Macaca fascicularis: one gene and its partner. The protein of the gene in region 1 binds, or shares a complex with, the protein of each later gene. Links are inferred from orthologs where the notes say so. Each region holds a gene or a part of one and is shown on either strand. Other genes may lie near its edges. The genes, in order: POR and HMOX1.

Region 1 (3,804 bases):
CCCAGCTTGGAATAGGGAATTGGGATTTGATGTGAGCTGCATGCTTCACCATGCCCAGCCTTGGAGAATGACTTTTCCATGTGGCTTGTTCCTCCCAAGACAGTCACAGCCTTGGACTGGAGCTGACATGACAGACGGACCCCACTGGTGTCAGCACCAGCCCGGGATGGTCCTGGGGTGCAAGCTAAGGCTGCAGCTGGGACTGGGTCCCCTGCAGGCAGACAGAATGAAAGGGGTTCTGGTCTGAGAATGGCTCCCAATCCTGCGCCTGAAGACCTGCCCCTTGCCAAATCCAGGGAGTCCCTGAATGCAGCAGGCCCGTGCCCCTGGAGTTCCCTCAGCCCAGACCTGACCTGGCAGGACCCCACTCAAACCTGGCCGCGGGCCTCTGCAGTCTGAGATTGGTGTTAAACACAGCCAAGCGTAACCACAGGAAGTGATTGTGGCTGCAGGACCCTAAAGTCTGGAGAATGACTTTTCCGTGTGGCTTATGGAAATCAATCTTGGAGACACAGGGATGCAGTCACTTAGGCAGACCTTCGGTATCATTTTTTCCTATCGACATACCATCTGTATTATTATTTCCTTAACGTTTTTCTTTTAACGAATCCATCTTTTTCACTTATTCTTAAAAGGAAGCTTCATGAAAAGTTTAAAAGAGCAACAAAATAAGGCCTGTCCAGAGATTTTGTGCTCATTAGCACACAGCGTTCCAGGTGGCTATAGCCTTAAAAGACTTTAAAATGTCAATTCTAGGTTGGGTACTGTGGCTCATGCCTGTAATCCCAACACTTTGGGAGACCGAGGTGTGCGGATCGCTTGAGTCCAGGAGTTCGAGACCAGCCTGGGCAACACGGTGACTCCCTGTCTCTATAAAAAAAAATATAAAACTTGACTGGGCGTGGCGGCTCACACCTGTAATCCCAGTTACTCAGGCAGCTGAGGCAAGAGAATCACTTGAACCCAGGGAGGCAGAGGTTGCAGTGAGCTGAGATCACACCACTGAACTCCAGACTGGATGACAGAACAAGACTCCGCCTCAAAAAATAAAAAATAAAAAATAATTAGCTGGGCACAGTGATGCACACCTTTAGTCCCTGCTACTTGGGGGGCTGAGGTGGGAAGATTGCCTGAGCCTGGGAGGTGGAGACTGCAGTGAACCTTGATCATGCCACTGCCATTGCACTGGGCAATACAGTGAGACCATGTCTCCAAATAAATAAATAAAAGGGAAAAAAGGGTTCCAGCTCTAGTGCTGCTATTGCTGGCTCATGACCTTGGCAGGCCCGTTAACACCCTTGAGCCCGAGGTTCTTAATCTGAAAACTGGTGTCATTTTCGGAATGCTTCCTCTGAAGGTCAAATAAACAGCAGATAGAAAAGGGCCTTATATAAACCCCACATAGGAGATGATTAAGGGAGAGCTGAAGCACAATCTAGCAAGAAGGCAAAACCCAAGAGTCGCCCCAAAATGCTACAAGGAACCTTGCTTCTTTCAGCCTGAGGCCCGTGGGCAGGACACTGCTCGGAGTGGTGACAGAAGAGGGACAGAGAGAGGAGGCTGAGAGGTGGCACTTACAATGTCTGAATTTTGGTGAACTCAGGGACTTCCTCTTTTTTCTTTCTAAAGAGGAACCAGTAGGTTAGGAGGCCCACGATGACTGAAAACAGAATCACGTCCGTCATGCTGAAAAGAGATACTTCTTCGGCCACCGCCTCGGACACGGTGGAGCTGGTGTCCACGTGGGAGTCCCCCATGTTGATCATGAAACTGTTAGGAGACAGAAACAGCAGACGTCAGCACCGGGGAGCAGGATGCCCCTGAGGCTGGCTGGGGTGCCCACCTGAATGCTGGGCCTCATGCCCCTGGGGCTGCAGAAAATGGTCACTGCACTGGGTAGGAGGAGCGGCTCACCAAGCCAGGTTCCTGCCAAGACAGCCACAGCCTTGGACTGAGGCTGACACAACAGACGGCCCCCAGTGGTGTCAGCACCAGCCCAGCGTGGTCCTGGGGTGCAAGCTAAGGCTGCCGCTGGGACTGAGTCCCCGGTAGACAGACAGAATGATAGCCACTGACTCAGTGTGCTGGAACTTCCTCCAATCCCACAAGGACACTGCACGGTGGCAGGAGGGAGTCCACGCGAGACAGGACCACTTTGCAGCAAACCCTTTCCCCAACTGTGTGGCTGGCTGGGGTTGTCCTAAATCCTGCGTGCTCCAAAAGTCTCCAGGCCTGGCCCTTGAGTGGTTCCTGATATTCACGAGCCTTGGACTATCCTGCCTGGCAAGAGTGTCTCTGTGTTCCTAAGACCTTGGGCTATGAAGACAGTTCCTGTTAACAATGAGATGTCTGGTGAATGCCCGCTTTCCTATGCCTGGGTGTCTTTTTTTGTTTGTCTTTTTTAAGAGACAGAGTCTTGCTCTGTTACCCAGGCTGGAGTGCAGTGGTGCAACCACAGCTCACAGCCTCAAACTCCTGGGCTCAAGTGATCCTCTCAGCCTTCCAAGTAGAACTTCTATGATTACTGGGGTGTGCCACTGCATTCATTTTTAATTTTTTTTCCTACTGACAGGGGCTTGCTATATCTCAAACTCCTGGGCTCAAGTGGTTCCCCTGGTTTGGCCTCCCAAAGCACTGGGATTACAGGCATGAGGCCCTGTGCCTGGGGTTTCGAATCGTGCTGTATCGGTCCGATGTCTGTGGGTACTGGAGATGGAATAAGCAAGCCTTCGGACCCAGACGCTCCACGCCTACACAACTGACCCACCAATAAAAACCCCGGAAACCTTGGCTTGGGTGACCTTCCGTAGGTGTCAGTTCTTCACAGGTGCTCTCACACATCGTTGCTGGGAGAATTAAGTGTGACCAGCAATGATGGAAACTCGTGTGTGACCACCTGGACACTCACGCCTGGCCTCTCCTGGACTCTGCCTTATGTGCCCTTGACCTTTCCTGATTTTAATTTGCATCATTTTGCTGTAATAAACTGTCATCGTAGGCAAAAAGCTTTCCTGAGTTCCGTGAGTCCTGGTGAATCACTGAATCAGAGGCAGTCTTGGGGAACCCCCATGTCACCAGCCTAGTTCCCTCGAAAGATGCTCAACTGGTCTTTCCACCACCGACACCTGATAGGCAGATCTGACATGAGTCAACAAAGGTCCAAGTGAGAGTCCCTGAAACAGCAGCTTCGGCTGCTTACCGAGGAGGCTGGGTTCAGCCCTGAAGTTCACATCATTCCATTTTGCAATCACGGAGATGACCGACTGGGTTTCTTTCACCACAAGCAGAGCACCCAGACTTAATCAGGAAAGCCTGAGTCATGTGTCAGCAATTAGGCAATGAAAGACCATGTTCTAGCTGACTGCCAATGGCTGTCACTGTCACCAGGAAACCACAGGGCTGGTCTGCGAAGCTAGGGCATCCGAGGGTTGTGGGCATCAGTCTACCCCTACACAACCTGCTGGGAACAGGCCATTCAGGACAGGCCCGTGAGCTTGGGTCTTTGCTTTCTCACTAATCTGAGATGCTTTTCCAATGGTTTGAGCTCATCTCAATTTAGCTTTTTTCTTTCTTTTTTATTTTATTTTTTTGAGATACAGTCTCTCTCTGTCGCCCTGGCTGGAGTGCAATGGCGCCATCTCAACTCACGGCAACCTCCACCTCCCGGGTTCAAGCGATTCTCTTGCCTCAGCCTCCAGAGTACCTGGGACTACAGGTGCCCGCCAACACTCCTGGGCTGATTTTGTATTTTTAGTAGAGACGGGGTTTCACTATGTCAGCCAGGCTGGTCTCGAACTCCTGACC
Region 2 (4,450 bases), on another chromosome or scaffold:
GGAGTCTCACGCTGTTGCCCAGGCTGGAGTGCAGTGGCGCGATCTCGGCTCACTGCAAGCTCCGCCTCTCCTGGGTTCACGCCATTCTCCTGCCTCAGCCTCCTGAGTAGCTAGGACTACAGGCGCCCGCCACCGCGCCCGGCTAATTTTTTGTATTTTTAGTAGAGACGGGGTTTCACTGTGGTCTCGATCTCCTGACCTTGTGATCCGCCCGCCTCGGCCTCCCAAAGTGCTGGGATTACAGGCTTGAGCCACCGCGCCTGGCCTTTATTTTCTATTTTATAGAGACAGGGTCTCCCTATGTTGCCCAGGCCAGTCTCGAACTCAAAACAATCTTCCTACCTCAACTGGGCTCAAAGCAATCTTCCCACCTCAACCTCCCAAAGTGCTGGGACTACAGGTGTGAGCTACCATGCCAGGCCTGAAAGCCATCTTATAAAAAACAAAAAAACATTAGAATGAGAATCATAGCATTGGGAAATGACTCTATGAAATCTATGAATCATCTGGTCCATTTGTTTTGTCCTCTGGGTTCACCCAATGACCCTCTTTTCCCCAAGTTCTCAGCAGTGCACCTCATGCAGAATTGATTCAATAGGCGATCAGCAAGGGCCAGCTCTGCTCTGGGCCCTGAGCAGGCACTGAGTATAAGTCAGACCTGAATGTGCCTGGAAGAGTGTCCCACGCAACCCAGCAGGGAAGCAGTTTGTATGACAGGTGTCCCAGTCCAGGCGGGCACCAGGTGCTGCCGGAGTGTGGAGGAGGCAGGCGGGGACTTAGTCTCCTCCCTGGGTTTGGACACTGGCTTCCTGCTTTATGTGTGACACCACTGCACCCCTCTGAGCCTCAGTTTCTCCAGCTGCAAAATGGGAGCGATCTACCCCCACAGGTCAGTTGTAGGGATGAACCATGAAAATACTGGAGTCTCTGTTTTTTGACAGGAACTAAAAAACCAGATCCTAAATGTACATTTAAAGGGGGTGTGAGGAGGCAAGCAGTCAGCAGAGGACTCCAGAAGGTGGCAATTTAGGGAGCTGGAGACAGCAGGGTCTGGGGTTGCTAAGTTCCTGATGTTACCCACCAGCCTCCTGCTCTGAGCAGCGCTGCCTCCCAGCTTTCTGGAACCTTCTGGGATGCCTGGGGTGCATCAAGTCCCAAGGGGACAGGGAGCAGAAGGTGGGGCTCTGGAAGGAGCAAAATCACACCCAGAGGCTGCAGCTTCTCAGATTTCCTTAAGGTGTGTGTGTGTGTGTGTGTGTGTGTGTGTGTGTTTTCTCTAAAAGTCTATGGCCAGACTTTGTTTCCCCAGGGTCATATGACTGCTCCTCTCCACCCCACACTGGCCCGGGGCGGGCTGGGCGCGGGCCCCTGCGGGTGTTGCAACGCCCGGCCAGAAAGTGGGCCTCAGCTGTTCCGCCTGGCCCACGTGACCCGCCGAGCATAAATGTGACCGGTCGCGGCTCCGGCACAGTCAACGCCTGCCTCCTCTCGAGCGTCCTCAGAGCAGCCGCCGCCCGCGGAGCCAGCACGAACGAGCCCAGCACCGGCCGGATGGAGCGTCTGCAACCCGACAGGCAAGCGCGGGGCGCGGGACGGGCGCCTTTCCCTCCCCTCCCAGCTGGCCTCCCAGTCCCACCCGGGACACTGCCACGCAGCGACAGAGCCCGGGAGCCAGAAACTTGGGCCCTGGAGTCAGGAGGCGCGGGGTTCTGATCCTGCCTGTGCCCGTAGGGTGGCTGGAGGGAGGAACGGTGATTTACATGCCTGGCACCCTGGTATGCGGTTGGGGACCAAGATGGGAGTGTCCTTAGAGTATCCAGCCTTTGAGGTAGCCAGTTTTTGTTAAATCCAACTTTCGAGGTGTGTTTGGAGTTGCTCTCTGCTGAATCTAGATCTCTGGGGCTTCCCTGTGAGGGAGTCAATTTTGTTTTAATCCAACTTTTGAGGTGTGCTTGGAGCTGCTGTCTGCTGAATCTAGATCCCTGGGGCTCCGCTAGCCTGGGAGAGCATGCTTGGTTCTCTTGGTGGCATCTGTCCCTCACTAGCTACGGAGGACCTGAGCCAGACATCACCCTGGCTACGTTGTTCCGCGTCTCACAAATAAGGATTGCCCAGTTCAGGCAGGCGACACGCCCTAGAGTACTCAGTCAGCAGGTGTCAGAACTGGGTGTTGAACCTTGGCCTGCCCACCTCCAGGTCTCGCTCGTTCCCTTCTTTCAAGAATTTCTTAGTTTTTTTTTTTTTTTTTTTAACTCCTGGGCTCAAGCATCCTCCCACCTCAGCCCCCAGAGTTAACTGGGACTTACAGGCGTGTGCCGCTTCTCCCAAGAATTGGACCAGCTGTGTTGTAGAACAGGGGATGATGTTCCGGGAAGCAGGGCGGGAGGAAAGGGAAAAATGACAGTTCTATGGGGACGCAGGGATACGGACCCATGACAGAAATACTCCCGGAGAGATTTTTTCTTTAACTAAAGCAGAATTTTTCAGAATTTTTAACCCTGACGTCTTCATGATGAGCATAACATGATAGGGGGGTCATGAGATTTGCATCTGAAACTTTAACAAAATAACTGAATTAAATATTGGGTCTAAAAGCCAATCAAAACAATTACAAACTTTGAGATGCGCGTTCATGGGGCCTCTGCTTTTTCCTGGGTTATGCTGTACCTCCTCCTCCTCTCCACTGGGAACTACCGGTACCAGGATTTCCCCCTTGGTTTGGGGGACTGTATTATTCAGTGTTTTATTTTATTTTATTTTATTTTATTTTATTTTTTTTTTATTTTTTATTTTTTGAGACGGAGTCTCGCTGTGTCTCCCAGGCTGGAGTGCAGTGGCGTGATCTCGGCTCACTGCAAGCTTCGCCTCCCGGGTTCACGCCATTCTCCCGCCTCAGCCTCCCAAGTAGCTGAGACTACAGGCGCCCGCCACCACGCCCGGCTAGTTTTTTGTATTTTTAGTAGAGACGGGGTTTCACCATGTTAGCCAGGATAGTCTCGATCTCCTGACCTCGTGATCCACCCGCCTCGGCCTCCCAAAGTGCTGGGATTACAGGCTTGAGCCACCGCGCCCGGCCTATTTTTTTTTTTTTTTTTTAGACTGAGTCTCGCTCTGTCACCCAGGCTGGAGTGCAGTGGCCGGATCTCAGCTCACTGCCAGCTCCACCTCCACGGTTCACGCCATTCTCCCGCCTCAGCCTCCCGAGTAGCTGGGACTACAGGTGCCCGCCACCTCGCCCGGCTAGTTTTTTGTATTTTTTAGTAGAGACGGGGTTTCACCATGTTAGCCAGGATGGTCTCAATCTCCTGACCTCGTGGTCCGCCCATCTCGGCCTCCCAAAGTGTTGGGATTACAGGCTTGAGCCACCGCGCCCGGCCTGGCCTAGTGTTTTAATGACTGAAGAGTGTTTACAAGGCTGCAAGAGTCACCATGCCCAGCCTGAATTTGTTTTTTTGTTGTTGTGGATTCTGGGGTTTTTTTTTTTTTTTTTGCTTTTTTTTTTTTTTTTGAGATGGAGTCTTGCTCTGTCACCAGGCTGGAGTGCAGTGGTGCAATCTCGGCTCACTGCAACCTCCACCTCCTGGGTTCAAGCTATTCTCCTGCCTCAGCCTCCTGAGTAGTTGGGATTACAGGTGCCCAACACCACACCCGGCTAATTTTTTTTTTTTTTTTTTTTTTTTTTGTATTTTTAGTAGAGATAGGGTTTCACCAATGTTGGCCAGGCTGGGCTCAAACTCCTGACCTCAGGTGATCTGTCCGCCTTGGCCTCCCAAAGTGCTAGGATTACAGGTGTGAGCCACCATGCTTGGCCTTTTTTCTTTTTCTTTTTTTTTTTTTTGAGATGGAGTTTCTCTGTCACCAAGGCTGGAGTGCAGTGGTGTGATCTCAGCTCACTGCAACATTTGCCTCCGGTGTTCAAGCAGTTATAGGCATAATCGCCGGGATTACAGGCATCCGCCACCATGCCTGGCTAATTTTGTATTTTTAGTAGAGATGGGGTTTCACCATGTTTGCCAGGCTGGTCTGGAACTCCTGACCTCAGGTGATCCGCCCACCTTGGCCTCCCAGGTGCTGGGATTACAGGCGTGAGCCACTGCACCCAGCCACAAGGCTGCATCTTAAAGCGATTGGGAATGTGGCCTGAATAAGAATGGGAGTCCTTGGAGGCCTGCTTATAGGTGGGTGGCTCCCCTGAGCTCAGCAGTTGGGAAGGACCCCACCCCCAGCCAGCTTTGTGTTCACCTATCCCATTTCCTCCTCAGCATGCCCCAGGATTTGTCAGAGGCCCTGAAGGAGGCCACCAAGGAGGTGCACACCCAGGCAGAGAATGCTGAGTTCATGAGGAACTTTCAGAAGGGCCAGGTGACCCGAGAGGGCTTCAAGGTATGTGGCTTGGTGGGACTAGCCCTGGTGGAGGGTGTGGCAGGTGTGGGTGGGCTCAAGGCTCAGG

The links.
Region 2: the proteins of POR (region 1) and HMOX1 are in contact, whole or in part, in a crystal structure (PDB 3WKT), measured with the Rattus norvegicus proteins. The link is inferred for Macaca fascicularis from reciprocal best matches to the Homo sapiens genes POR and HMOX1. Residues at the interface, in NP_113764.1 of Rattus norvegicus: Thr88, Thr177, Asp208, Asp209, Arg313, Arg514, Lys515, Gln517, Arg519, Leu520, Phe522, Lys523, His626, Lys665, Met667, Thr668, Lys669, Gly670, Tyr672; in NP_036712.1 of Rattus norvegicus: Asp12, Ser14, Glu15, Gln38, Ala75, Pro76, Glu81, Lys149, Ile150, Lys153, Ser171, Asp173, Asn174, Thr176, Lys177, Phe178, Lys179, Gln180, Leu181, Arg183, Ala184, Arg185, Asn187, Thr188.

Annotation. Positions count from the first base shown.
Region 1 is NC_088377.1:51,678,528-51,682,331, forward strand, and holds part of POR (NADPH--cytochrome P450 reductase), read right to left. Parts: intron 1,771-3,804; 5' UTR 1,767-1,770; coding exon 1,579-1,766; intron 1-1,578. UniProt on the Homo sapiens protein: This enzyme is required for electron transfer from NADP to cytochrome P450 in microsomes. It can also provide electron transfer to heme oxygenase and cytochrome B5.
Region 2 is NC_088384.1:16,285,441-16,289,890, reverse strand, and holds the start of HMOX1 (heme oxygenase 1), read left to right. Parts: upstream 1-1,469; 5' UTR 1,470-1,551; coding exon 1,552-1,574; exon of another isoform or gene 1,575-1,775; intron 1,776-4,262; coding exon 4,263-4,383; intron 4,384-4,450.